Oryzias latipes: one gene and its partners. The protein of the gene in region 1 purifies or fractionates together with the protein of each later gene. This does not show direct contact. Links are inferred from orthologs where the notes say so. Each region holds a gene or a part of one and is shown in the gene's direction. Other genes may lie near its edges.

Region 1 (4,053 bases):
AACCGACACAGAAAATTGACATTGCAAACATTTTCATAGCATTGAAAATAAGAACAATGTGTAACTCTTCAGTATAAGATTTTTACAGTACCATTTTATTTTATTTTTTTAAGCACAATTACAACGCAACATCAAAAATGTAACTAATTCGCTAAAATGATTTTTTCTATAGTATATTCCAATTCAGGCCAAACTGTTGGACTGCTGTTTTACAGATAGCCTAGTTGAAGAACCAGCAGGAATCATTAAAATGTTTTTTCTTCATCGGGAATCGTACATCAAACAGTACTTGAAATTTATTTTATTACGTCTACTTAAGTATAAGTATAGCAATTGTACTGTAGACCATAAACTGTATGTGTAGTGTGGGAAGTATATTAACTGAATACTTTTTCAGACTGAATTGGAACATTTTAAGTTTACAATATATAGATATTACAGAAAAAGTAGATTTCAAGTATGCTGCCAAAAATTAAGAATAGGCTAAATATACTTGACGTTTACTTGAATAGACTTATTTTTGCAAAGCGATGGACTGATCAGCTTCACCATTCTATTCTGAAAATCTTAAATGCAGTTCAAGTGCATATTTATAGTTTTCATTCATTTTCTACCGTTTTATCCCTTTCGGGGTCACGGGGCTGCCAGAGCCTATCCTGACCACTTGTGGGCGAAGGCAGGGGACACCCTGGACAGTTTGCCAGTCTGTCACACACCCACTCACATTAACACCTAGGGACAAATTAGAGTGACCAATTGACCTATGAAGCATGTTTTTGACTGGGAGGAAGCTGGAGACCCCGGAGATAACCCACACATGCACGGGGAGAACATGCAAACTCCACACAGAAAGGTCCCCCATTGGTGTTCTGGTTCAGGCAATGGAGGAAGAGCGCTAACCACTGTGCCACAGTGCAGCCATAGACACTTTATTTATTTTGCATTGATCCTATAAATATTGCAAGATAAATAAAGTATCTATCTATCTATCTATCTATCTATCTATCTATCTATCTATCTATCTATCTATCTATCTATCTATCTATCTATCTATCTATCTATCTATCTATCTATCTATCTATCTATCTATCTATCTATCTATCTATCTATCTATCTATCTATCTATCTATCTATCTATCTATCTATCTATCTATCTATCTATCTATCTATCTATCTATCTATCTTAGATTCAATAGCAACACAGAAAAGTTAATAGCAGTTTAATAAAAGTTAATACCAAATTAACTGTTTTTAACTGATATGAAGTTAATAGCAAATATATCTTAAATGGAAAAAAATAAAATTTTCTTACAGTTTTTGTTGAGATGAAAATAATTATGAAATAACTATTTGAATTTTTTTGTTTTTGTTTATAAAAGATTAGAAACGAATGTTGACGTCATCAACATTCGACGGCTTGATGATGATGAAAACAAAAGTGGACCGGGGCAGTGAGCTTACCGTGACAGTGCTAATGCTAATGCTGTTAGCTAAAGTAGGTAAAGCTTGTTTGGTTACTTTATTAATACAATATAACTCATTTTAAGGCTTTAAATTGTGTTTTTATGCCATTTAGTAACATTTAAAAATACAAAAATTGTTTTTTTTTTGCGTTTGTATCGTCCAGTAAATGTCAGTTTGTCTGGAGTTAGCGTGTTGCTGTCGTTAGTTTAAGCTTTTCAGTAAGAATCAAAGCCCTAATAAAACGTGTTTATGTTCCCAGGTGACTGCTTCAGAAAACTCTGCTCTTTCATGCCTTCCTTGGAACCAGTTTTCCATCTATGATGATGAATTCGCTAATTAGACGTAGACTACCCCCGTCGGTAGAGAGTCTTCTGACTAACATCGATCCAAAGGAGGAATGGACTGATACAGAATCCGAACCAACGACCAGAGATGGGATTCTCCTCCCGTCTAGAGGCTCTGCATCCAACACAGAGGGGTTTCTCTCTCCAGCCAAGATTTGCTACGGGGAGGCTCAAAATAACACAATAACAGCATGTACGTTTTGTAAATGTAAACCTTCTCGTTATACCTGTCCTCGTTGTAACCTCCAATACTGTGGGTTGGCATGCTATCAGAGCCGGGAGCACACCTCCTGTTCAGAGGAGTTTTACAAGGAGTCTGTTCTTCAGGAGCTGAAGAAAATGGGAAAGACAGAAAGTGAGGGAAGAAGGAGAATGCAAGAGATTTTGTTGGGAATTCAACAAAAGGGAGAAATGACTGAAGGAGGGATGGAACGTGTGCTAAAGGAAGAGGGTATTGTAAAAGACAACTCTGATGAGGAGGAAGAAAAAATTCAGGTTATGGAACTTTTGTCCAAGTTAGCACAGCTTCAGCAGTCGGAGGAAGAGAATTCAACCGAGATTGAAGCCATTCTGAGAAAACTTGAGGAGATTGGAGGAGCAGATCCAATGTCTGGAGACTCTGATGATGATGCAGAAGAGAAGTTGGACCTCACAGAACGACTGAAAGGGCTGGATATCGATAAACTATCGGAAGACGAGCTGTGGGACCTTCTCAACAGTAAAGAGAGAGAGTCATTTATGGGTCTGATGAAGAATGGAAGACTTTGGGGGCTGGTTCCTCTGTGGAAGCCTTGGTGGGAGGACCATGAGGAGGAACATAAAGAACTGGTGGAGATGATTCAAGGAGAAGAGGGCAAACTGGAGAGAGAAACTACTACAGTTACAAATCTGCAGGGGGACAATAACAAAGTCAAGACATCTCAAGAAGTCGAACCAGCGAGAGAATCAACTTCAAAGCTGAAAAATAAAAGGAGAAACAAAAAAGAGACACGTCAAAGCGAAGGAAGTTCAGCTAGAGTTCCTCCAGTTTCTGCAAAAATTCCAAAGTTAAGTTCCCTGTGTGCAAATCCATCTCCTCTGGTTTGCTACAGTCTAGTGAATACTCTTTATAGCTATGCCTTTACTCTCTGCCGATTTAATGGAGACACTGATTCTCTGATTTTAGAGTTCTGTGAGATGATCCTTGCTCTGTCTGAAGCCCTCCATTCAAGTAAAGTGTTTAGCTCTGTCCAAGAAGCTATAGACTGTGTACAGCCTCTCATCTTAGGAGGAGGGTATCTTGACAAAGAGGATCCTCTAGCTCCAGCTATGGCAGTGGAAGCGGTTGCCCATATCATGACTGGCAAAAACAAACGAGATCCAACAGGATACTGCCTGTCTGCATTAAACCAGCTTCGCATGATTCTTTCAAATACCAGAAAAACTCTGTCCAAAGAGGGAGACGATGCTGCAAAGAGACAGAAGTTCTTTCAAGCTATTAAAAAGTGTGAGTTCTATCAAGCCTGGGTGTTGGAGAATGAACATCAGATTCAAAGGCTGGCCATTGAGTTGTGGAGTGAGCACAGTAAAAGAGAGAGTTTAAGAAACTGCATGGACCAAGCCAAGGCTTTTGTTGAAGAAAATCGGAAAAAAGAAAAGGGAAAGAAAGACGACACAGAGCTCATCGAGGAACTAAACTGATGTATATTTTGTTTAATGTGTTGATTTTAAGATCTGTTTTGTAATAAAGTTTACAGAAAATTGAATATTGGTGTTTGTGTAAAAAATTAAAACTCAAAACAGCAATTTTGGATGTCCAATTACTAAATTAAAAAAGCCTCTTTCCATTTAGAAATGTAAACGTTTTAAATGCATAGAGTTAAAGTAATAAAAAGTTGAAATCATTGGAAAATTAGGAATATAACTATACAAAGCTTTTAAAACAATATTACGTGAATAAACATCTGATTTTTGAGGCCACAGTTGTAGGCATCACCCTATCACAAAGAAAATGTAAAGCAACATTTTATTAAAACAGATTATAAATAAAAGCGTTTAAGAAAATTTGATTCAAATGATAGTATTTGAATTTGAAAAAAAAAAAGACTTAGTGGAAGTATTAGTCGTTTCTGTTAACATTTTTCAGAGCAATGATCAGGAACTTGGTCATAACAGACACTCTCGCGATATTTCCGCTCACGTGTTGCGGATCTTCCTCTACGCAGCTACAGAAAACATGGCAGCGCTCTTGAGATCAGCCCGGTTA
Region 2 (4,105 bases), on another chromosome or scaffold:
TTTCTACGCCGCACCCGGTATAATCCCACTCCCCAAAAATAAACACAAATTGTTTCATTTGTCTCTCTTTAGTTCTAATTTTGACCTGAATGCTCCTATATTTCTTATTAGCATGAAGCCATGAAGGTTCAAAGAGCTTAGAAGTATCTTTGAACTTATGGATCACCAAGGATTAAGTAAATAAACAGAAATATGAATTCATTTTTTAGACTTTGTTTCTGTTATAATCAGTGAGACCAACTTTTTCCTCTGACAATGACACCCCTTTGTATTGTTCAGGGAGTCTAGATAGAGTTAGCTCAGACCTTCTTTTTTGTTGAGGTTCATGTCTGTTCTTAAAGTTTCTGGCCAGAAATTAGCGCATGCATTCCCGTCCCCCTGTGCAAAAGACCCAATCCTGCTTTGCCCTGCAATTTGAAAGAAATCTGTAAAACTTTACGCAATAGAGTGTGCAAAATGACAATGTAAAAACTCCATGTTTGGTTTGTTCAACTTTTAATTTTTGTGTCTTTACTCCCAAACAAACAATGCAGACCTTCTGAAGTGAATGTTTGGTTGAGGGGAATTCTGACTCCAAACTCAGTGAGACAGACGATGATCTGCAAATGATGTTTTCAAAGTAAGGCTAAACATAGCAGCTACAATATTCAAGAGAAGTCTCTTCATGCATCTAGAAAAAGTTTTTTTTAAACTTTTGAGTCTCAATTCAGCAGTAATTATCTGGTGAGATCTTAAATTACACTAATATCTCATTTAGATTTCATGAATAAAATTTGCATTTGTTCCACAGGATTAGACAGTTCTCAAAGTTTCTGTCATTAAATGACAAAAAAATATTTCTCAAACTGAATTAAATGCTGATTCTTGTATTTTTACATCAATGCAGCTGAAATATAACTTTCTTTCTATAAAAGTGTTTTTCAGATGTCAGAATAAAATGTGAGAATATGGGAGAACAAAAACTTTCATTGTAGGAAATGTTCTGCTGGACCAGTTCAGTTACCCCCACCACCCCCACCCCCGCAGTCGGTTCCCATAGTTGTTTATTGTTATAAAATGTGGTTTCTCATTTTTTTTGTCTAAATCACAAATAAAGGGTTTCTTTATTTTATCATTCAACCATAAACTAGACCTCTAAACTTTTATTCATTAATACCATTATTATTAGAAAGTAACGCTAGTTGATGAGAAGAAAAGCTTCTCTTTTAGTGTCCTATCTTCCAAACGAAACCGAAAGCACAAAGGCAGATGATTGATTGCAGGAGTTTCCTCGACCTGAACCGACTGGAATTTGATGAAATCCTAAACCCAGCGTCAGTAGTCCATGACGGGGAGGAAATTGAGCAGCAGCAGCAGCAGCCTGGGTGATGCTGGAAAGACGCAGCGCTGCGTCGGCTGTGACTGACCCCGCTGCAGCTCTGACCTCTGCACCTGAGAAAGTGTGCAGTGCAGACAGTACCGAGAGGAAGCAGAAGGATAATGAGAGCAGCTGGAGCGTTAATTCCACGAACCTGCAAGTCACTGTCAGACATAGGTTTGCTCGTCTGAGGATCCTGCTGAAGAGCATAATAAATGGTAAGCGCACTGGTGCGTAATTACGCACGCACAGTGACAAAGTGAGTTGTTTTAGTGCTTTGATGCCAAAGCAGAGATTGAGAATTAAACCTGAGACTCGGACTTGAGTCTCACTTCAGTTTCAAAGGCAGGGATTTAAGACTTGAAAGCCTATTTAAGACTGAAACCTTAACTTCAAGAGCATCAGACTAGACTTTGAGGACTTGAGAACATTCTTAGTTTATTTTTAGTTTTACCTTAAAAAAAAAAAACAGATTGAGGTCTAATATTTTTGTGCTGTATGTGTCACTATTAGGTGGTTTAAAATACTGTAATGACATTAGTGAGAATCACACATTTTTAAAAATAATTTCCAACATTTTGGATTTGACTTGTAACCAAAGACTTAAAACCAGACTATGACTTGGGAAAAGTGGATTTCAGAGCATTTTAATGCCAAAGTCTGTGCACTTTGTCTTTCTGTCATGTGATACAAAGATGCCCAGGAGCCGAGTGATTTTATTCAGTCTTCACTGGGCTGCATTTAAGGTACTTCCACACCTCTTTCTTTTATGCAGTGTCTGACCGGAACTCTACTCCACAGTGTCCTGGTGGTTCTCTTGTTGGCCAACTCATCTGGTAAAAGTAAATGTAACTACAAAGACATACTGGGCTTCTACAGAGAAGTCATCTTCGTTGAGCTGCAGAATCTGGTATGACGACCAAACTGACCGCAAAATAAGAATTTCAATGTTTGTTTATATTCAACAGCCTTTTACCTACAGCTGACACTAAGAAAAGTGTTGGAATATATGGTTAGAGACTGCCCTCCAGTGTTTGTTTTGCAACACACACACAAAGAAAAGCCTCAAAACGAATTTTCCCACACTTTGAATGAGATGAAACTGGATTTCTAAAATAATATTTTTGATGACTAATGTTTTTCAGAATTTGACTGTTTCTCACAACTCATCCAAAGGGAGAGATCCCTGCCCCTCTGCAAAGGTGAGCATCAATGCTATAGGTACATTAGATGTAGTTTGGTGGCTGTAAAACGGAAATCACACACACAACAAATGCAGTAAACGTAGTAACAAAAATGGAAACAAATTACAGAAAACTGTTAAAATAGAACATTTAAAAATATTTTGCTTTAAAAAAAAAAAAACAATATTAAAAGTAAAAACAAAAAAACAAAAAAGGAGATTTCTTTAACCCTGATGTGACATATTTGTTTAGTTTGGCAAGTTTTGTCTACCCAAATACTTGCATTGTTTGTTATCAAGGTCTTTAAATGCTGTCTGTTTTCTCCTTTTTCCTGCCATCTCATGGCAGGCACATCGCATCCTTGTGTCCATATACATTAACACACAGCAGGTCCTCTGTTTGAAGAGCGGCAAGAAGCTGTCTGACCTGAAAAAGCCAATAGAAAACATGGAGCAGCTCATCGTTCAAAACTGCAGTCCTAATTATATGGTGAGAAAAAGTACCGATGCAGATCTTTGAAGTATGCAAAAAAACTTAAAAATCTGAACTAATTTATCTTTTTTTTCTTTTTTTCTTTTACTTCTAGGGAAAGAAAAACCCCTGTTCATCTGCCCAAAAAATACAAGGGAGAAAAGGCAAGAGATTTAGGGTGATCAAAACCATAAAGGCATTGATTAGATGTTGGGAAAAACTCAAAAGTGTCGTACCCTCTGATAAATAGTATGACTTTGGTCCCTAGGACCCGTGCTACTCTATGCACTCAAATTTCCAGATGGTTCTTCCAATCTGGTCAAGATAGACTTTGTAAAAAAAAAAACGGCTTCCTCTTTTATTGGAATGCTCAAGTTGTTTTATTCCTCCTTTTTTTAACAGTTGTCGAGATCTCCGAGTTTTGTGATTAAAAAAACGCCATCCACTGCATGTCAGCATTCCTCTTTGCAATATGAATTGTTTCCTAATAAGCCAAGATAAGCTAAAAAGTATTCACTCACCATTCAGATGTTCTCCAGTAAAATATGCACATTTTCATTCTTTGTAGCATGTTTTTTTTGAATGACATATTGACATTATACATATTTCCTGTCTTTTTTACTGTAATTTCATTTAATAAAATACTGAATATTTATTAATACTTTTATTAGAGAGGAAATTGTTGGTTTTGTTGTTTTTTATAAAAGGAAATCTTAAAGAGTGGAACTGTTCTTAAAAAGAATGTTTCCGACGGAACAAATAAGGTGTTACGCAGCGTCCGCCAGTGTTTACAGCCGAGAGTCCGCGAAGCGAATTCGCCACGAATCTGAACATTATCGTAAAGTAGCTTTTGTTCTTTGCATGTTAGTAAAAAAAAAAGTGCGAAGGGCAGTTCTTAGTCAGAATTATACTCTTTTCATTGTTTGTTTTCGTAACATTTACAGCGACGCAGAAATGCGTTTTTGTTCCTTAACAACACTCCCCTGAAGCAGCTTCTTCACTAGTCTGTGACTGTCTGTGGGACGTTCTGGGTAATCCTTTCCAATATTCAGGACACTTGTATTTTATTTTAGGAGGTTATTTGTGACACAAA
Region 3 (4,009 bases), on another chromosome or scaffold:
AGAACCTGTCATTTTCAGCATCCATCTGTTTCCTGAATGAAACATTATGATCTGGAACCCTTCAGCCTTGAGGGTTGAATTTGATGATTTATGGAAAGGATATTAAGACCCCCTCTGTAGCACTTCAGAGGGGTCTGCTCCTTCGAGTTATTTCGTCTAAACATTTTCAACAATTTCTCTGAGGATAAAGAGATTATCCTCAGACTTGGCAAATAAAAAAGGGAGATGCAGTTTTTTTACAAGGTAAATAATAAGAAACAACACCCATTCCTACACTTCATACCTTATGTAGGGGTTGTTTACACTTACTCCCTCTAACTGAAATATCTCTACAAGCATCATTTAGTTTCATGTGGCTTCTGTCATCAATCCTATAACTTTGGTTTATTAGTAGATCTCTTACTATAACTTTGTCTATATGAGGATCCTTGCACAACATTAATCTTGCATCCTCTAGTGGAAAAATCTGTGCAGTGCTGCTGGGCTTTTCTTCAGACTAATCAGGTTTAGTCACATCCTCTGCAAACCAACAGGGTTTCTTTTGGGTCAAAATGGAAAGTTTTTGAAACCTCTTAGTTTCTCTGACCAGTTTTGGTTCAGGAGATCACCTATGGATTATATAAGTCATGATAAAGAGAGAAAATTACCATAAGGACTTCAAGCACACATTATAAAAGCAGTGCATATTAAGGGAGTACATGTTTTTTAATGCATGATCATATTTTTACATTTGTTGGGAAATAAATATATGAATATTTGTGATGTTTTAGGTTTAATTATCTTTTTTTCAAGGTAACAGCATGATAAGTTGTTTAAAATGTGACGTTTTCTTATGCATTTCTTTAAGTTTAAAGTATTTTTTTAAACTACAATTTTAGATTCCTTGGTTTTATTTTGTTCAGATGACTGCAATCCAGGTCTTAAATTATTAGCAACCTGAGTTTATTTTTCTTTCTAATCTTTAATCTGTATTTGAATGCTTAAAATTTCAGTTCTAATAGTTATAGGTATCAAAAATGCCAAAAACATTATTTGTTAGGTAGTAAATTTGACACACAGAAAGATAATTTCGAAGTATTTAAGTATTTTCAGGTTATCATTATCGTGACGATCAAGACAAAAACGTAGCTTTCATCTCAAAAACAAATCCGGGCTTTTACGCCAGATTTGTAATTCACATTTGAGTCTATAGAGGGCAGTCCCAATAAACTCTAGTAGCGGAACTGAACGGCTTCGCATGTTTCTTGTCGGACACATTTAACCAGTACTCCCTGAGAAAGAAGCGGCGCTTCTCACGTTTTTTAAGTGTGGCTGCGGAGGTGAGTCCTGAGTTTGTAGTAGATGTTAAAATCAATTTGGACTTTAATATTTTCACCCAAGTAGTATAGCCAATTTATTTTTAAGTACTTCCGCGTGTCATGCAGGCTTTTATTACCCGGCTAATATGGCGTGTGCTGTTGTTTTGCGTTATGAACGGTGTGAATGATGCTAGCTTGTTTGCTAATATCGTTAGCTGATGTTACCTGTCGATTTTCTCCCCCCGTATTCATATTAGAAAATAAACTAATTTCAGTGAAGTGTCAATTTTTCTAAACCTGATTTACTAATACTTTCCTTCCTAGATATGTTTCACAAATATGCGTATATATATTTTAAAATGTCAAAGAGTGTTGACTAAGCTTTGCTGTTGTGTTGTGTGTGGTCATTCATTGCTGTCACTATGACAACGGACAGGACAAGTGGAGCATAAAAGGAATTCCACATTTATATTGCTTTGACAAAGTCTATGTGGAAAACACTAAAACATTGGTGAATGGAGGATGCAAATTTTAACTCTCTTTGGAAACGATAAACATCCAAAAGTGTCATCGATATTTGAACACACACATAAGGAATTCTTGCTGTTCTTTTTCATAAGCAGGATTTTTAAACAAACAATAAAAAATGCTCTTAAGATTTAGTCAAAGATCAACGAAGGCCTAAACTCCTCTGAAAATATTTGTTCTTTTGTTTACGATGAGGCAAATTGTTTTAAAAATGTTTCTTTGCATTTTTTTGTTTTCTTCTTGTCATTGATGTATTATTCTACAGATGGCAACTACAAAAGTGCCAGAGGTTCGGGACATTACACGGATTGAAAGAATAGGTAAGACCCCATGCAGATTTTCAACACTTTAGAAATAAATGGTAAGCTTAAATTGAATGGTAAACTTTAGAACATGCCTTATCTCTACATGAGCTGTGTGTATTTATTTTTGCTATGATTTCCCGTATGTTTGTAATATTTTGTGTAATAGTTTCATCTTTGTGTGGTTAGGGGCCCACTCTCACATTCGGGGCCTTGGTTTGGACGATGCTTTGGAGCCCAGACAGGTAACGTGCAGCACTTCTGTTTGTTGATCTCTGTTTTGACCCAAGACTTCAGTAGTTTTAGGTGTTTGTAGTTTTGATAAAATTATGGCTTTTTTTTGTAATTCATGTCCTTTAAAAAGGCAAAAACTTAACAGAGGAAAACATATTTGGATATTTTTAAACTGCTGTTAAACTTGAGAGGTTAAAATGTTTCGAATGTACCTTTTAATGTTTTGTTGTGTGTGGAAACAACATGAAGCAGTATAGAGGTAGTCAAGTAGCAAAGCGAGACTTGATTCTAAAGCCCTGTTGTCAGCACTAAACCCACATGTTGTGATTCCAACAGGAAAGTCTTTTAGCAGCTTGTTTAAAGCATTCAAAATGTCCCTTAAGTCAAAGGATAAAATCCGAATGAGGCATATTTGCTGCTGAACGAGTTGAGTTCCCTGTTCACCTGCAGGTGTCACAGGGGATGGTCGGCCAGCTGGCCTCCCGTCGAGCAGCAGGGATAATCCTGGAGATGATCAAAGACGGACACATCGCCGGCAGGGCCGTTCTGATTGCTGGCCAGCCGGGCACGGGGAAGACGGCTATTGCTATGGGTGAGCATGGGACCAGAAATGATGCATACAAGTTTCCACCTGAGGCAAAGTTCTGTTGGCTATTTGAGGCTTGTTGCATGTTTTTCTTTCATCTACAGGTATTGCTCAGTCTTTGGGCCCTGACACCCCCTTTACAGCTCTGGCTGGAAGTGAGATCTTTTCCCTGGAAATGAGCAAAACTGAAGCACTGAGCCAAGCTTTTAGAAAAGCTATAGGAGTGAGAATCAAGTAAGTATATAAACAAGGTTTAGGTTGTTTTTTTTGGATAGAAATTAAGTCCGCTCTCTTCCCCCCCATAAATCCAGAGAGGAGACAGAAATCATTGAAGGGGAGGTGGTAGAAATCCAGATTGACAGACCCGCCACTGGAACAGTAAGATCCTTTCACTTCATAAACAGTCTTTCCATACCATAGCTTTAGAAAACGTTGATTTATTTAGCTGATTCGCCTCATGTTGAGCTGGTTTGCTTTAATCAGGGTGCAAAGGTGGGGAAGCTGACTCTGAAGACTACAGAGATGGAGACAATATATGACTTGGGGAACAAGATGATTGAAAGCCTCAGTAAAGAGAAAGTTCAAGCCGGGTGAGTTCATCTTCTCCTCATAAAGCAATATAAAGGTTTGGGTTTTGTTTTTTTCTCAGTCCTATCTAAATGGAGCTTTTCTTGTTTGTCTTTAAACACACTTTTTAGTGATGTTATTACCATTGACAAAGCCACCGGGAAAATCTCCAAGTTGGGGCGCTCCTTCACTAGAGCCAGAGACTACGACGCCATGGGAGCCCAGGTAAGATCTCTGCATGGGACAGTTGAATACCATACTTTGAATTTGGGTTATAGTCAAATACAAAGTCCACCTGAAGCCTCTGTAAGTGTTATCACTTGAAGATTATAATGAATACTATGATTTCAGGGTTCCCTTGCTATATCACAGTTCACCTTTCGCTTTCTTTTACTGCAATTCTGCACGTTTTTTTTTTCTTTTTACAGCACTGTGTTGTGCGTCCTGATTGGCTGTTGACCTTGTCAATTAATCCCCTCTCTGTTCTTTACACA
Region 4 (4,057 bases), about 1.5 Mb from region 1:
GCCACCTTTGGCCCCAGAGCCTCAGATTGCTGATCAGCCTGAGCAACCTTCTGTTCATTTTCAACACCAATAAACTCATCTGGGGGGAAAAAAAACAAAACATAAAAAACAGGAGATTTTTAATCAACTCCGTTGGTGTATTTGATTCTTTTACATTGATATTTTAAAGTTAAGTTTGATTTTAATTTATAGTAACTTTTGTTTAACTTTAGAAGTATTTATCATGCTTTTGTCTAAGGGGTATCATCATCAGGCTGTGACACACAGCTCAGATAATCCAAAAGTATTCTTGATTGATTTTTAAGTAAAATACGAAACAACTTTTGAGCCTTTTTTCTGTTGTTGTTGATAGTCGATTATGCTAACAGTCCTTCATGCAGAGCACAACTATTTAATTATGAAGCACAGATGAGGAAAAATCCTGAACTTAACATTTGTGTTGTGTGTGGTAGTACTGTACTCACATTTCAAGCTTATGCGAAACGGGTCTTCTGGTGTATCGTGAAATCATTCTCCGGCTTGTATCTCTGCTCTATGATCGGCTAAATCCATCATTTCTCGTCCCTGCCTCCGCTCCAGAGGATCTTGTGGAAAAGTCTAATATTCCTGGCACAACGTTCCTCTGACAAGATGACTCCACGACTGAACAGACAAAAGAATGCTAATGCTCTGTTTAGTGTCATGAGATGCTAAAAATATCAGCTAACCAGCGTGAACAACATCCCTGCAAAATATCAACAGGGCACAAACAACGTTGCAAAATGATGTTCTAGCGTTGTTCTAGCAATGTTATAATGGCACACACAAGCCATCTACAAGCGTTCTATACTAACCATATTTAATACATTTGTTTGTTTTTGCTGTGAGAGGACTGAATGCTAGTACTAGCTAAACCACTGGCAACAATAACGCCGCTGTCATGGATACCAATTGTGTTGAACGCGCTTCTTCATGGGAAATGCAGTTAATTCACAATCTGTGTTGAGCTTAATCAATGAAAACCTACTTCAACTCCCAGCATGCATTGTAACTGGTGGTTTGTACGTCTAGAAAAAGCTTCCGTTATGTTTAGTGGACATTGACAAATTCCAAAAGACTTACTTGAGAATTTAACATAACCACATCATTTTAATATGAGTTTAATAAAAACATTTATATTTTTATTTTTTTGTGTTTATCTAGAAGGGGTATTATTCGCATGTTTTTAAGAAAGCGGAACTTAAAGACGATGGTAGGAACCCGGTTGTAGAGTGTAGTCGGCTTGATATTACCGACGGATCAATCAGTGGCAGAAAGCATCGTGGATGTGTCGTTTTGTAAACATGATTGAAGAATTTTTTGTCATTATTTTTTTCTTTCAATCACATCAACGTAATTTATAGTAAGACAGGGTAAGCTTCAATCCTAAAGTATGTTTATGCAAATTACGTCGTTACGTAATAATTGAGTTTAGCTAACTGTAAACGGACTACAGTGGTAACTTGTCTTTAGTTCTTTCTCTGTTGTGTTGTGCAGTTGGACATACATTGTGACCTTACTTTGCTTATCGCACGTGCACACTAGTTTATTGTTCATTCCTTCCAACAGGTTGCGTGCAAAAGTACAGAAATTGAACAAAAATGGATCTTTTACAAAGAAGGGTATTTCAGGATGATATGGTCCAATACAATCTCTTCTTGCTACCTGCGGATCATTCAACTCTTCAGCAGAACGAGCGACGACTTAAAGAGATGCTTGGAGAGATTTTTGCAAAGCTTGCCCCCATGTTGGTGGAATATATTTGGCAACATCAACCATTCAATCTGAAGTATCATCCATCCAAAGGTAATGGATGGTTATATGATCTATGTTCACTTTAATAGCTTTCTAACTATTAACTTTTGTATATTCCGTTTGCAAACAGGAGACATCCCGGCTCACATTGGAGGCATCACTCAGTTTGGGGACAACGTGGAGGATGAGTGGTTTATCGTTTACCTTCTGCAGCAGATCACAAAGACTTTCTCAGATCTGGTTGTCAGGTGAAGAATATATATGTATTTGAAGTTATATTTTCTTCTTTAAACTAATTCTTGCCAACATTACTTTGGTTTGTTCCCAAATATAATTAATTTTTACTCAGTGTTGAAGACAACGACGGGGAATTTATTCTCATCGAAGCTGCAGATTATCTTCCCAAATGGTTGAGCCCCGATACAAGTGAAAACAGGGTGAGTCAGACACACAGAGGGGCAAATAGTGTGTTTTATATCATATTTCTATACTTTTGAAAGGTGATGGATTACTCTCAGAAAGAGTTTTGATCAGATTTATAGTGAAACCTCTTGAGTCAGAAAAACAGATGATAAAATGTAATATGTTGCAGTATTGCAAAATATTGATAAGCATCTTTAAAATAATTATAACCGGAGAGCTTTCAATATGATGTGAAGAATAAAAAGGGATGGATGACATTGGATTTTTCTGATGTTTTCAATTTGTTGATTGATACCAATAAATTCTATTAACACCTGTGTTTTGACTTGATAAAAATATGTAACCAAATCTCCCCTATTTTTAAAGTTTGTTTTTTTTTACCTCACAACGCATCCCTGCTCCTTTACAAGGAAACAGATTTATTATAATTATAATCTATTATAATATATATTTTTTTTTAGATAGATGCAGCTCTTTTTTTAGCTGAGTAAAAGTTCTGATTTTTTCATTTGAAATGAACAGGGGTAGAAAGTCTTGTGCAATAAAATCTTACAATTTCTGCAAAAACCCACTGAAGTCAATGTATAGCTTGTGACAACCCACCTTCGATAGTTTAAGTGTTAATTATTATAATTTTTTTCAATCTTTTGCAGGTTTTTCTCTTTAGGGGAGAGTTGCACATCATTCCTCGCCCTTCCAAATCGAGTTCTGTGGGCTTCCCACGTAATGTGGTCCCCAGTGTGGAACAGGCTCTCGCACTTCTCTCTGCTCACCCAGAAGCTTGCCAAGCAAGCCCCGGGATACGTTCAGCCCTGAGAAAAAGACTTGTGGGGTGATGCATAAAGAAGACCTTTTAGTATTTCTGCCGCTAAATTTTACATCATATCATTGTGGGTTAAATAATGTGAGAGTGTATACGTTTTTTGCTGACTTAAATCTTTGTAAATGATGGATTGAATTCCAAACCAAAAACCATTTGCTTCTCCTCAGATACCCAGAGAAGATAAAAAGCGGCCTCCACCGTGCTCACTGCTTCATACCGGCAGGAATCGCCACCGTGTTGGCGCATCGTCCTGACCTGGTGGCACCTGCCGTCTCAGCTTTTTATTTAAGAGATCCAGTCGACCTGCAGGCATGTCGGAGCTTCAAGACGTTTCACCCCGACACCAGAGTCCTCACCTCGGTAATGACACGACGACCCGAGTTCTGCTGGATGAGCATGCAGACGAGGTTTTAGCTCAGTTTTGATATCATAAGCACAGAATACCTTCTAAGATTCACCTTTACTCATTTCCAGGTTACGTTTACCCGCTGCCTCTATGCCCAGCTGCAGCAGCAGCAGTTCACGCCAGATCGGAGGAGTGGCTTTAACCTTCCTCCGCGCACTCATCCTCACTACAAAGCCCATGAGCTTGGCATGAAACTGGTTAATCCTTTTTCTTTGTCTTCATCTTCGCATGCTTTGGTTGTGAGCACACACCTTTGTGTTTTCTGTGTAACACGAAGCCTCGTGTCTGTGTTTGGGCTCCACTTTCAGGCTCACGGCTTTGAGATTTTGTGCTCCAGGTGCAGACTTCCTTCTTCAGGGCCCGACGACGCTGCTGTCAGCTGTAACCCTCAGTGGAAAAGCTTCCTGAAAAGTCTCCAAAAGAATGACTACTTCCGGGTTGGTTCACATTTGTTAACAGTTTTGTTTTTTATGAAATGCATTCATGAGGATGATTTGTTTATTCAGTGCTTTTAATTAATTGTTAAATTCGTTTCCAAATGCAGGGGGAGCTGGAAGGTTCGGCCCGGTTTAAAGAGCTTTTAAGATCAGCAGAAGTTTTCTTCAAACAATCCGTTGCTTCAAAATCTAGGT
Region 5 (3,500 bases), on another chromosome or scaffold:
ATTTGTTCAACATCATGGATACTCCAGGTGTTGCATTTTAGCCTAACTTTGTTTTACATGTGAGCCCTTTGTCAGGAAGACAACCAAAAAATCCAACTTTGTGTTTTCATCTAAGGTCACGTGAACTTCTCTGACGAGGTCACAGCAAGCATGAGGATCTCAGACGGTGTTGTCCTCTTCATCGATGCAGCAGAGGGAGTATGATCCATATTACTGTCTCTTTTTCCCTTACACTCCAAGATGTCCAGATTCCGCATTATTGCCTTTTTTCCGCTCTAATAATTAATATCAAACTTTTTTGACAAATAGGAAGTTACAAAGTTTTTAAAATTTTTGTTTTAACTTCATTAACAAATATTGCACATACAAAATACCAAATGCAAAACTCCCCACTGTGTCCAAAAGACCATTTTCACATTTGCCAGGGAAATGAACAAAACTCCAAATTACTATAAAAACAACAATGTAAATCAGGTTAAGCAAAAATAAAAAAAGCAAAGGAATCCATTAAAGTTTCAAAAGAGAAAATGTTTCAACTGTTCTAACAGCTTTTTTGTTAAAGTTGAAGTTTATACAAACATAAAAACAGGAAATCAAATTATTAAACCAACTGGAATTAAAAACAAAACAAAACATTTTTGTAAATAAACAAGAAATTCATTCATTCATTCATTTTCTATTCCGTTTTGTCCCTTTCGGGGTCACGGGGCTGCCGGAGCCTATCCCGGCCACTTGTGGGCGAAGGCAGGGGGGCGCCCTGGACAGGTTGGCAGTCTGTTGCAGGGTAGAATGTCCACAAACACATACCCATTCACTCTCACACTCACACCTAGGGACAATTTAGATTAACCAATTAACCTATAAAGCAGGTTTTTGGACAGTGGGAGGAAGCCAGAGACCCCGGAGAAAACACATGCATGCACGGGGAGAACATGCAAACTCCACACAGAAAGGTCCCCATTGATGTTCTGGTGGAAAAGGATCAATGTTGCCTTTATATCTATGTTGGCAAAAATGTGCATGATATTTTAAGAGAAATTTCCTTGTTCTCTGTTCATATTAAAGTATTTCATAAAAATATTGCAGTTGGTTTTTTAGTTGAAATGTTTTGCATTTATGATTGCATACAATAAATTACTGTTTATTATTAGTTCACTGAATCATTGGCAAACATCAGTAGTGTGATTTCATGATATTTGGTTTCTCCTTCAGGCAAAGGGTAAATTTCTTTGTATGAAAAACATTTCATACTTAATGTTCTCGTTAGTGTTGTCTGTTAATTTGGGATTTGGAGGACGTTTGTATTTTATTTTTCATGGATGTTTTTCGTTTCAGGTGATGCTGAACACAGAGCGTCTGATCAAACACGCCGTTCAGGAGCGCATGGCCATCACCATCTGCATCAACAAGGTGGATCGTCTCATCGTGGAGCTCAAATTGCCTCCTACAGATGCATATTATAAACTTCGTCACATTGTGGATGAGGTCAACGGTTTGCTCAGGTAATTGTTCAAGTCCACTAATCGCTACTGCCCCGTTAAGTGGATTTTATTCTTGCTGTTAAAGAATAAATAACAATAAGGATGGTTGTAACTAGCTTGATAACGGGCCTTTTGTTTTTGTTTTTTCTTGTTATCCATTCTCTTCTCTTTCAGTACGTACTCCACAGACGAGAACCTGGTGGTGTCTCCCCTCCTTGGAAATGTCTGCTTCGCCAGCTCTCAGTACAGCATTTGCTTCACTCTCGGATCCTTTGCGAAGATCTACTCTGACACACACGGTTAGATGATGTACTATAAACCCATCATTAATAGTGCAGCTCCCACACTGTCAGCTAACACCTGCTCTTATGCTTGTAGGAGATATCAACTATAATGAATTTGCCAAGAGACTCTGGGGAGACATTTACTTCAATCCCAAAACGTCAGTAACCAGATTTGGTTGACTTCAGCACAGAGAAAGACATCCTCGATTCATTTCCTCTTCTCTTTTCAGTCGTAAGTTCACTAAGAAAGCTCCCAGCAGTAACTCTCAGCGCAGCTTTGTGGAGTTTATCCTGGAGCCTCTCTACAAGATCCTCTCACAGGTTCGACACATCTTGCCTTTTTCGTTTTTTTTTCTTTCCTCCTCAGATGAAGGCATCACAACCAGCTCAGTGCCGAGTGTGTAATCCTTTCCCAAATCCTCTTTGCTGTAGGTTGTCGGGGATGTGGACACATCCCTGCCCCGAGTTCTGGATGAGCTGGGGATCCACCTGTCGAAGGAGGAACTGAAGCTGAACATCAGACCTCTGCTGAGGCTGGTCTGTAACCGCTTCTTTGGAGAATTCACCGGTGGGCTTTTCTCTCATCTGTAGATAAATACAGTCGATTTTATGTAGACTACCTCTGAGAGAAGTGTTTAGGGCTGTAAAGATATCAGAAAACTTTAGATATGTGTGATCTGTTCCAGAATAAAAACAATATTCAAGATTATTAATATGTGATCCTTATAAACATACCGTAGTAAAGTATTTTAAAATGTTCTGCAGGCAATGTCGCTCATAAAATGTAAAATAAAGTTGTATTTTAATTATATAAACTAAACAAACCGTGTGTGCTACTGTCACTGGAAGTAAATAAAATTAGAATATAAAGGGTTGGGGAAAGTTCTCATTTTTAAAGGAAAACTATCGTGTTTTTTGTAGATAAAAAAACGAGACTGAAGTTCAGTTTACTAAAATAATATTAAAAAAAAACCCAATTTGTTTTGAATGTAGTTGACAATTTGAATAAAAATATAATGAATATTTGATGAAGAATATTATGAAATCTGGTGATCAAATGTGTGACGTCTGCTTGCATGGCGGACACGCTGTAACCGAAATGCGTTCACCTAAAATGCGGGACTTTTTTTGGGTATTTCCACTAAAGATGAAAAAAAAACAAGTCAAACTGTAAAACATGTTTATTTTTTTCTTTTGTAGGGATCCACAGCCCTAGATATTGGTACGGAGGTGAAAGGTCACATTAAAAAGTTGTTCTGCTGTTCTCTGGCAGGTTTTGTGGACATGTGTGTGCAACATGTCCCATCACCACAAGAGGGCGCTAGGATTAAGATAGAGCACACCTACACTGGAGGCCTGGATTCAGACCTGGGGGAGGCCATGGCAGAATGTGACCCTGATGTGAGTAGAAAAAAAGCTATCCTCTGAACCCCCCAGCTGTTTTAAAGGTAATTCCCAACAACAAGTAAATGATTTTACAATCTTCTGTCCCTTCTTGCTTCTGAATTAGGGTCCTCTCATGTGCCACACCACTAAAATGTACAGCACTGAGGACGGGGTGCAGTTTCACGCATTCGGGCGTGTTCTGAGTGGTACCATTCAGGCAGGTCAGCCCGTTAAAGTTTTGGGGGAGAACTATTCTCTGGAGGATGAGGAGGACTCTTCCGTCTGCACCGTCGGCCGCCTCTGGATCTCTGTGGCCAGGTTTGCTTCCACGTTTACTGAATTTTGTTTG
Region 6 (4,295 bases), on another chromosome or scaffold:
GTAATATAACCGCCTCCATGCGAGCGTTGGGGTCCCCCGTTACCCAGCATGTAGTCCTGGTACGCCTTGAACCTCTCGTAGAACAGCAGGCTGCCGGTCTGGAAGGTGTCCGGCAGAGTCGCTCCTGACCGCCGCTCCGACCTCTGCAGCTGCGTCCCCGACCTCTCAGAGTTCTGGTGGTCTGTCCCGCTGTCGTCGTCGTCATCCTCGTCTTCGTCACTGACGTCTCCAGCATCATCGTTCTGGAACAGAGCTGCAGAACCCAGCGGAGGTCATGAATGATGGCTGTGAAAGTTTGTCCAGCGCCACTTTTCAAAATAAAAGACTGTTAATGCTTTTTTAAACTTTGAAGGACTTTAAAAAAAATGTTTGCATTGATTTAACTCATTTATAAAGTTATTTTGCTATTTTAAAAAATATGCTTTCAACTCTAATTTTAATAATAATTTCATAGGCATTTTAAATGTTATTTTTGTCCTTAATTGCTGTATTTTTAGTAAGTTAACAGGTTTTAAGGCTTTTTCCGGTCCTCCTGTGTCAAAATCCTCATGAAAGCAGATATTTTCTCTTCTCTTTTATTTAACAATCTGTTAAACAACTTCATAGAATCAACAAAAGAGTCACAAATACTGTGTCTACATACACAAATAAATGAATTTATTTACACCCCCGTTTTCCAGGTGTCAAACTCCAGGCCTCGAGGGCCGGTGTCCTACATGTTGTCCAACCAACCTGCCATGAAGCACACCTGATCCAGGTAATCAGTAGCAGATAAGGCAGGATATCTTAAAAAAAAAAAAAGAAACAGTCTGACACCCCTTTTGCGGTCTTCTATAGGTATATTTTGTTTTTGTAATAACATAATTGTGTTATTTGTTTATTTCAACATCCGTTAATGTCTACTCAGATGAGAGTGAAATATAATTATTTGTCGTATTTGGGTTAAGTTTGGAAAATCCTGCAAGATTGACAGTTCCGAGAATGCAGCTCAGGCTGACGACATATGAAGACGCTGCGTTCACAGACCGCCGGAAACTCGGATAAAAAGTCTGCTAAATCTCCAAGCTAGCAAACCTCGACGGCAGCGGTTAGCTTGTCTCATACACCGACTCGGAGGAAAGAAAACTCAAACCAAAAACGGTAACGTAACAAACCTTGCGCTACATCCAATAAACCGGGTCCCGCGGAGCAAACGCTGTCCGTCTCGACCTGAGGATCCAGATCGACCACCACCAAGTCCGACACGTCGCTGACGGTACACCCGGTTTCCAGGGCTTCGAACTCCATTGAAACGCTCGCCAGAGTCTCGGTTTAACGGGATTAAATGAGGATCACGCGGCACTTGGAGCTTTGAAACAACAAGCGGAGTTCTGAGCCCACGCCCTGACACTTTCAAAAGATCCCGGTCTGCTGCAGCTCAGCCAATCACAGCAGGGAGCTATATAAAGACCCGCCCTTGTTTTTTTACATGCGCGGATCGGCTCGGTCTGCAGTACCACAGGACAATCGTTAGGGGGCAGTAATGACGTAAACATTACACGATCTACCGTAGAAGAAGAGGGTTTCGGCCGGCGGTCTGCGCTATTTCAAAGGTACAAACGGGATTTAAGTCAAAACTACGCGTATTATATAAATATTTGTCATGTAAACAACAGCGCATTTCGCAGCTCTTTTCGGCTAGACAGCATTTTTGTTTTGTTTATAAGCATTTGTAACGTTGTTAGCATGTCGCGCTACTACTAGCATCGTGCTACTTAGCATGCTAACTAACTTCAGTCTGAATCTTGTTTTTACGAAGTCAATATTCCGAGTTATTTTTATTTTTATTGCCAATCTTTTTAAATAAAATCAAAACAAAAGCTTTAGTTTTTTAGGCACAAAAAAAATTCATATATGAGATGAAACAGATGTTTTAATTCATGCGCTGTTAAGGCTGATGATCATGATGATGTTATTATTGTTGTTCGCACGTATTTTTACTAGAAAACAAAGTTATGGAAAACATATTTAAAGTTAAAATCCCATTAACTGTGAGAAAATTGTACTTTGATCCTGGAGGAGCGGAGAGCTGCAGAAACAGCCGCTCAGGAACCAGGGGGGTATTTTCTTTATTTTTAGCTTTTTTTTTAATTGAAAAAACACTTGAGGTTTACAATTTGTAACAATTGTATACAATTATGACAAGTATAGAAAAGTAGAAAAAGTACAGGACATGAACAAACAACATAGGCAGGATAAAATAAAAATATAACAATAATACCGAAAAAAAATTAAATAAAAGAAATTAAAATAAAAAGGGGGTCACATAGACATTTTAATGATTCTTGACTTGGGGGGTTCTCAAAAAGCTGCAAGTTACATATAATACTTTGAAGTTCCATAGCAAGTTTGATTTCCATGAAGTTTGCAGATGAAAAAAAGAGCAGAGTTCTTTATGAAATGTAAAAGAATATGGTTGGATTTCAAGGAATTGACATTTATGTATATAGAATTTACCCAAAATAATTACAACATTTAAAATAAGTTCTGTGTTTTTTTGTTTTTTAAATTAAACCCAAAAATGATGTCCTTAATAGAAAAGTCTGCTAAATGTGGGATTTGGGGGAAAAGCCAATAATTCCAAAAGACATTAGAGTCAAAACATTCAAAGAAAAGATGCTCAGTTGTTTCAATGTCATCATGACAAAAAGAACAGCAGTTTTCAGGAATTCCAAACCGTTTTCTTAGTAATTCCTTGGAAGGGTAAAATACCTGAAAAGGTTTTAAAATTGACTTCCTTGGCTTTAGGAGGGATGGGGAGTTTGAAATATTTGGTTCGTATTTGTTTCTTTTCTGAATTATTGAAATATTGGGTTATATAATTTGAATTTGAGATGTAGGGAAAGGACGTTTCATTCAAATATTCTCTGATTTGATGGTTGGGGAGTTTGAGTTAGGGTTACCAAGTCCAGCGTAATTACACTAACTCAAATCTGGTCATACCGACATACCCAGAGTAAGCAAGTTCAGGCGGATTTCAGCCAGAGTTCAGGCTTAAAGTCAGGCTAGTTTAAACGTGCTTCCTGGATACCTGCCTGAACTTACCGAAATCCTAACCTTGACCCTTCCTGTGGGTCCGTGCAGCCAATGACAACGTTCAGCACTGGCTGCACGTGCGCATTCTTGTAATTATTGACCTTTTATTGGGTCATTATTTCAAAACATTTATTTCAAGTTTGTTTTGAATTGAACAGAATTAGGACTTAAATAATTATGCTTGCTTTTAAAATGGATGTAAACATAGAGGATCATTATTATTTTACAGGTTATTTCCAAAACCCTCATATTTACTGTTGGATGCTCGGTGGTCCGTCCTCACAGGTCCTAGCAGCTTGTTGTTGTTTTGGTAGATGTTAAAACCAGTCCATGCAGGTTTGATGGGGTGGCCTGACCTTTGGTGTCTTCCTCTACAGTTTTGGGGTTCCCACCTGACCGGGTTTGTCTTCCTCGCGGCTCGGGGTTCGGCTGCAGCCGCGGCTGAAGATGTCGCAGCAGAAATGCGTCCAGAGCTGCGGCGACGACCAAGAAGGCTTTGAGCTGTCGGCCAGTGACGAGTCGGAGCCCGAGGAAGAGCTGAGCCGGGCGCCCTTTGACCCGGAGCTGGATGACAGCGACGACGGGGGCGAGGAGGCGTGCGCTCTCGGCGCCACCCGCTCAACTGCGAGCACGTTCGTCTTGAGCGGAGGGAACTCTGCGTTCTCCGACCGCAGCCGCAGCGTCTTCGACTGCCTGGATGGCGTCGAGAGGCAGACGGCACCTCTGCTCCCCGAGGAGAGCATGCCCCCTCCCAAATGTCCCCCTCCTGCAAAGAAGAGGGGGGTCCCGGACTACCTGCTGCACCCTGATCGCTGGACGCGCTACAGCCTGGAGGACGTGAAGGAGACCACTGATCAGGAGAACCGCAGGGCGGCGCACAACTTCCTGTCCAGTCTGCGGCCTGAAGAGGGCAACCGCCCCCCCGGTGAACCCCCCCACGACCAGCAGCAAAAGGTGGTCTTCTCTAAACCCAAACGAGCGTTCAAGGAAGAAATCTCTGAGTCAGACCAGCAAGGAAAGGAGAAGAGACTGCACCTCAGTCACCTGGCTGAGGAAGAGGAGGAGGACAACAAGGCTGCTGGAAAGACCCAGCAGGATGCAGAGGAGGTCAGAGACCAGCAGGAGTCCCTCCCCAGCTTCACCCCCTTCAAGAAAATGAAGAGGAAGAGCTACAGAAGGAGCTCGGATCACAAGGATGAGTGCTAAAATGCTCGATTTGA

Evidence for each region.
Region 2: the proteins of znhit2 (region 1) and aar2 purify together in Homo sapiens (affinity purification with mass spectrometry; 3 studies listed by BioGRID and IntAct, counting the BioPlex papers as one, with this or other methods). This does not show direct contact. The link is inferred for Oryzias latipes from reciprocal best matches to the Homo sapiens genes ZNHIT2 and AAR2.
Region 3: the proteins of znhit2 (region 1) and ruvbl2 purify together in Homo sapiens (affinity purification with mass spectrometry; 5 studies listed by BioGRID and IntAct, counting the BioPlex papers as one, with this or other methods). This does not show direct contact. The link is inferred for Oryzias latipes from reciprocal best matches to the Homo sapiens genes ZNHIT2 and RUVBL2.
Region 4: the proteins of znhit2 (region 1) and ecd purify together in Homo sapiens (affinity purification with mass spectrometry; 3 studies listed by BioGRID and IntAct, counting the BioPlex papers as one, with this or other methods). This does not show direct contact. The link is inferred for Oryzias latipes from reciprocal best matches to the Homo sapiens genes ZNHIT2 and ECD.
Region 5: the proteins of znhit2 (region 1) and eftud2 purify together in Homo sapiens (affinity purification with mass spectrometry; 4 studies listed by BioGRID and IntAct, with this or other methods). This does not show direct contact. The link is inferred for Oryzias latipes from reciprocal best matches to the Homo sapiens genes ZNHIT2 and EFTUD2.
Region 6: the proteins of znhit2 (region 1) and tssc4 purify together in Homo sapiens (affinity purification with mass spectrometry; 3 studies listed by BioGRID and IntAct, counting the BioPlex papers as one, with this or other methods). This does not show direct contact. The link is inferred for Oryzias latipes from reciprocal best matches to the Homo sapiens genes ZNHIT2 and TSSC4.

Annotation. Positions count from the first base shown.
Region 1 is NC_019873.2:16,399,167-16,403,219, forward strand, and holds znhit2 (zinc finger HIT domain-containing protein 2), read left to right. Parts: upstream 1-1,384; 5' UTR 1,385-1,495; exon of another isoform or gene 1,496-1,499; intron 1,500-1,723; 5' UTR 1,724-1,781; coding exon 1,782-3,488; 3' UTR 3,489-3,553; downstream 3,554-4,053. Other genes in the region: lrpprc (leucine-rich PPR motif-containing protein, mitochondrial), read left to right, coding at 4,024-4,053. UniProt on the Homo sapiens protein: May act as a bridging factor mediating the interaction between the R2TP/Prefoldin-like (R2TP/PFDL) complex and U5 small nuclear ribonucleoprotein (U5 snRNP).
Region 2 is NC_019865.2:15,451,661-15,455,765, reverse strand, and holds the start of aar2 (protein AAR2 homolog), read left to right. Parts: upstream 1-1,305; 5' UTR 1,306-1,575; intron 1,576-2,132; 5' UTR 2,133-2,267; intron 2,268-2,502; 5' UTR 2,503-2,559; intron 2,560-2,889; 5' UTR 2,890-3,030; intron 3,031-3,127; 5' UTR 3,128-4,105. UniProt on the Homo sapiens protein: Component of the U5 snRNP complex that is required for spliceosome assembly and for pre-mRNA splicing.
Region 3 is NC_019872.2:21,690,832-21,694,840, reverse strand, and holds the start of ruvbl2 (ruvB-like 2), read left to right. Parts: upstream 1-1,209; 5' UTR 1,210-1,319; intron 1,320-2,091; coding exon 2,092-2,146; intron 2,147-2,317; coding exon 2,318-2,373; intron 2,374-2,812; coding exon 2,813-2,954; intron 2,955-3,052; coding exon 3,053-3,182; intron 3,183-3,259; coding exon 3,260-3,326; intron 3,327-3,431; coding exon 3,432-3,538; intron 3,539-3,646; coding exon 3,647-3,740; intron 3,741-4,009. UniProt on the Homo sapiens protein: Possesses single-stranded DNA-stimulated ATPase and ATP-dependent DNA helicase (5' to 3') activity; hexamerization is thought to be critical for ATP hydrolysis and adjacent subunits in the ring-like structure contribute to the ATPase activity.
Region 4 is NC_019873.2:17,934,722-17,938,778, forward strand, and holds the start of ecd (protein ecdysoneless homolog), read left to right. Parts: upstream 1-1,257; 5' UTR 1,258-1,391; intron 1,392-1,587; 5' UTR 1,588-1,619; coding exon 1,620-1,824; intron 1,825-1,903; coding exon 1,904-2,021; intron 2,022-2,122; coding exon 2,123-2,210; intron 2,211-2,849; coding exon 2,850-3,028; intron 3,029-3,186; coding exon 3,187-3,379; intron 3,380-3,493; coding exon 3,494-3,622; intron 3,623-3,733; coding exon 3,734-3,862; intron 3,863-3,969; coding exon 3,970-4,055; intron 4,056-4,057. Other genes in the region: protein FAM149B1, read right to left, coding at 465-511. UniProt on the Homo sapiens protein: Regulator of p53/TP53 stability and function. Inhibits MDM2-mediated degradation of p53/TP53 possibly by cooperating in part with TXNIP. May be involved transcriptional regulation. In vitro has intrinsic transactivation activity enhanced by EP300.
Region 5 is NC_019866.2:5,485,554-5,489,053, reverse strand, and holds part of eftud2 (116 kDa U5 small nuclear ribonucleoprotein component), read left to right. Parts: coding exon 1-27; intron 28-115; coding exon 116-198; intron 199-1,335; coding exon 1,336-1,502; intron 1,503-1,655; coding exon 1,656-1,780; intron 1,781-1,859; coding exon 1,860-1,923; intron 1,924-1,995; coding exon 1,996-2,086; intron 2,087-2,197; coding exon 2,198-2,333; intron 2,334-3,038; coding exon 3,039-3,166; intron 3,167-3,275; coding exon 3,276-3,469; intron 3,470-3,500. UniProt on the Homo sapiens protein: Required for pre-mRNA splicing as component of the spliceosome, including pre-catalytic, catalytic and post-catalytic spliceosomal complexes. Component of the U5 snRNP and the U4/U6-U5 tri-snRNP complex, a building block of the spliceosome.
Region 6 is NC_019861.2:37,264,295-37,268,589, reverse strand, and holds the start of tssc4 (protein TSSC4), read left to right. Parts: upstream 1-1,495; 5' UTR 1,496-1,592; intron 1,593-3,452; 5' UTR 3,453-3,522; coding exon 3,523-4,281; 3' UTR 4,282-4,295. Other genes in the region: shcbp1 (SHC SH2 domain-binding protein 1), read right to left, coding at 44-253, 1,155-1,287. UniProt on the Homo sapiens protein: Protein associated with the U5 snRNP, during its maturation and its post-splicing recycling and which is required for spliceosomal tri-snRNP complex assembly in the nucleus.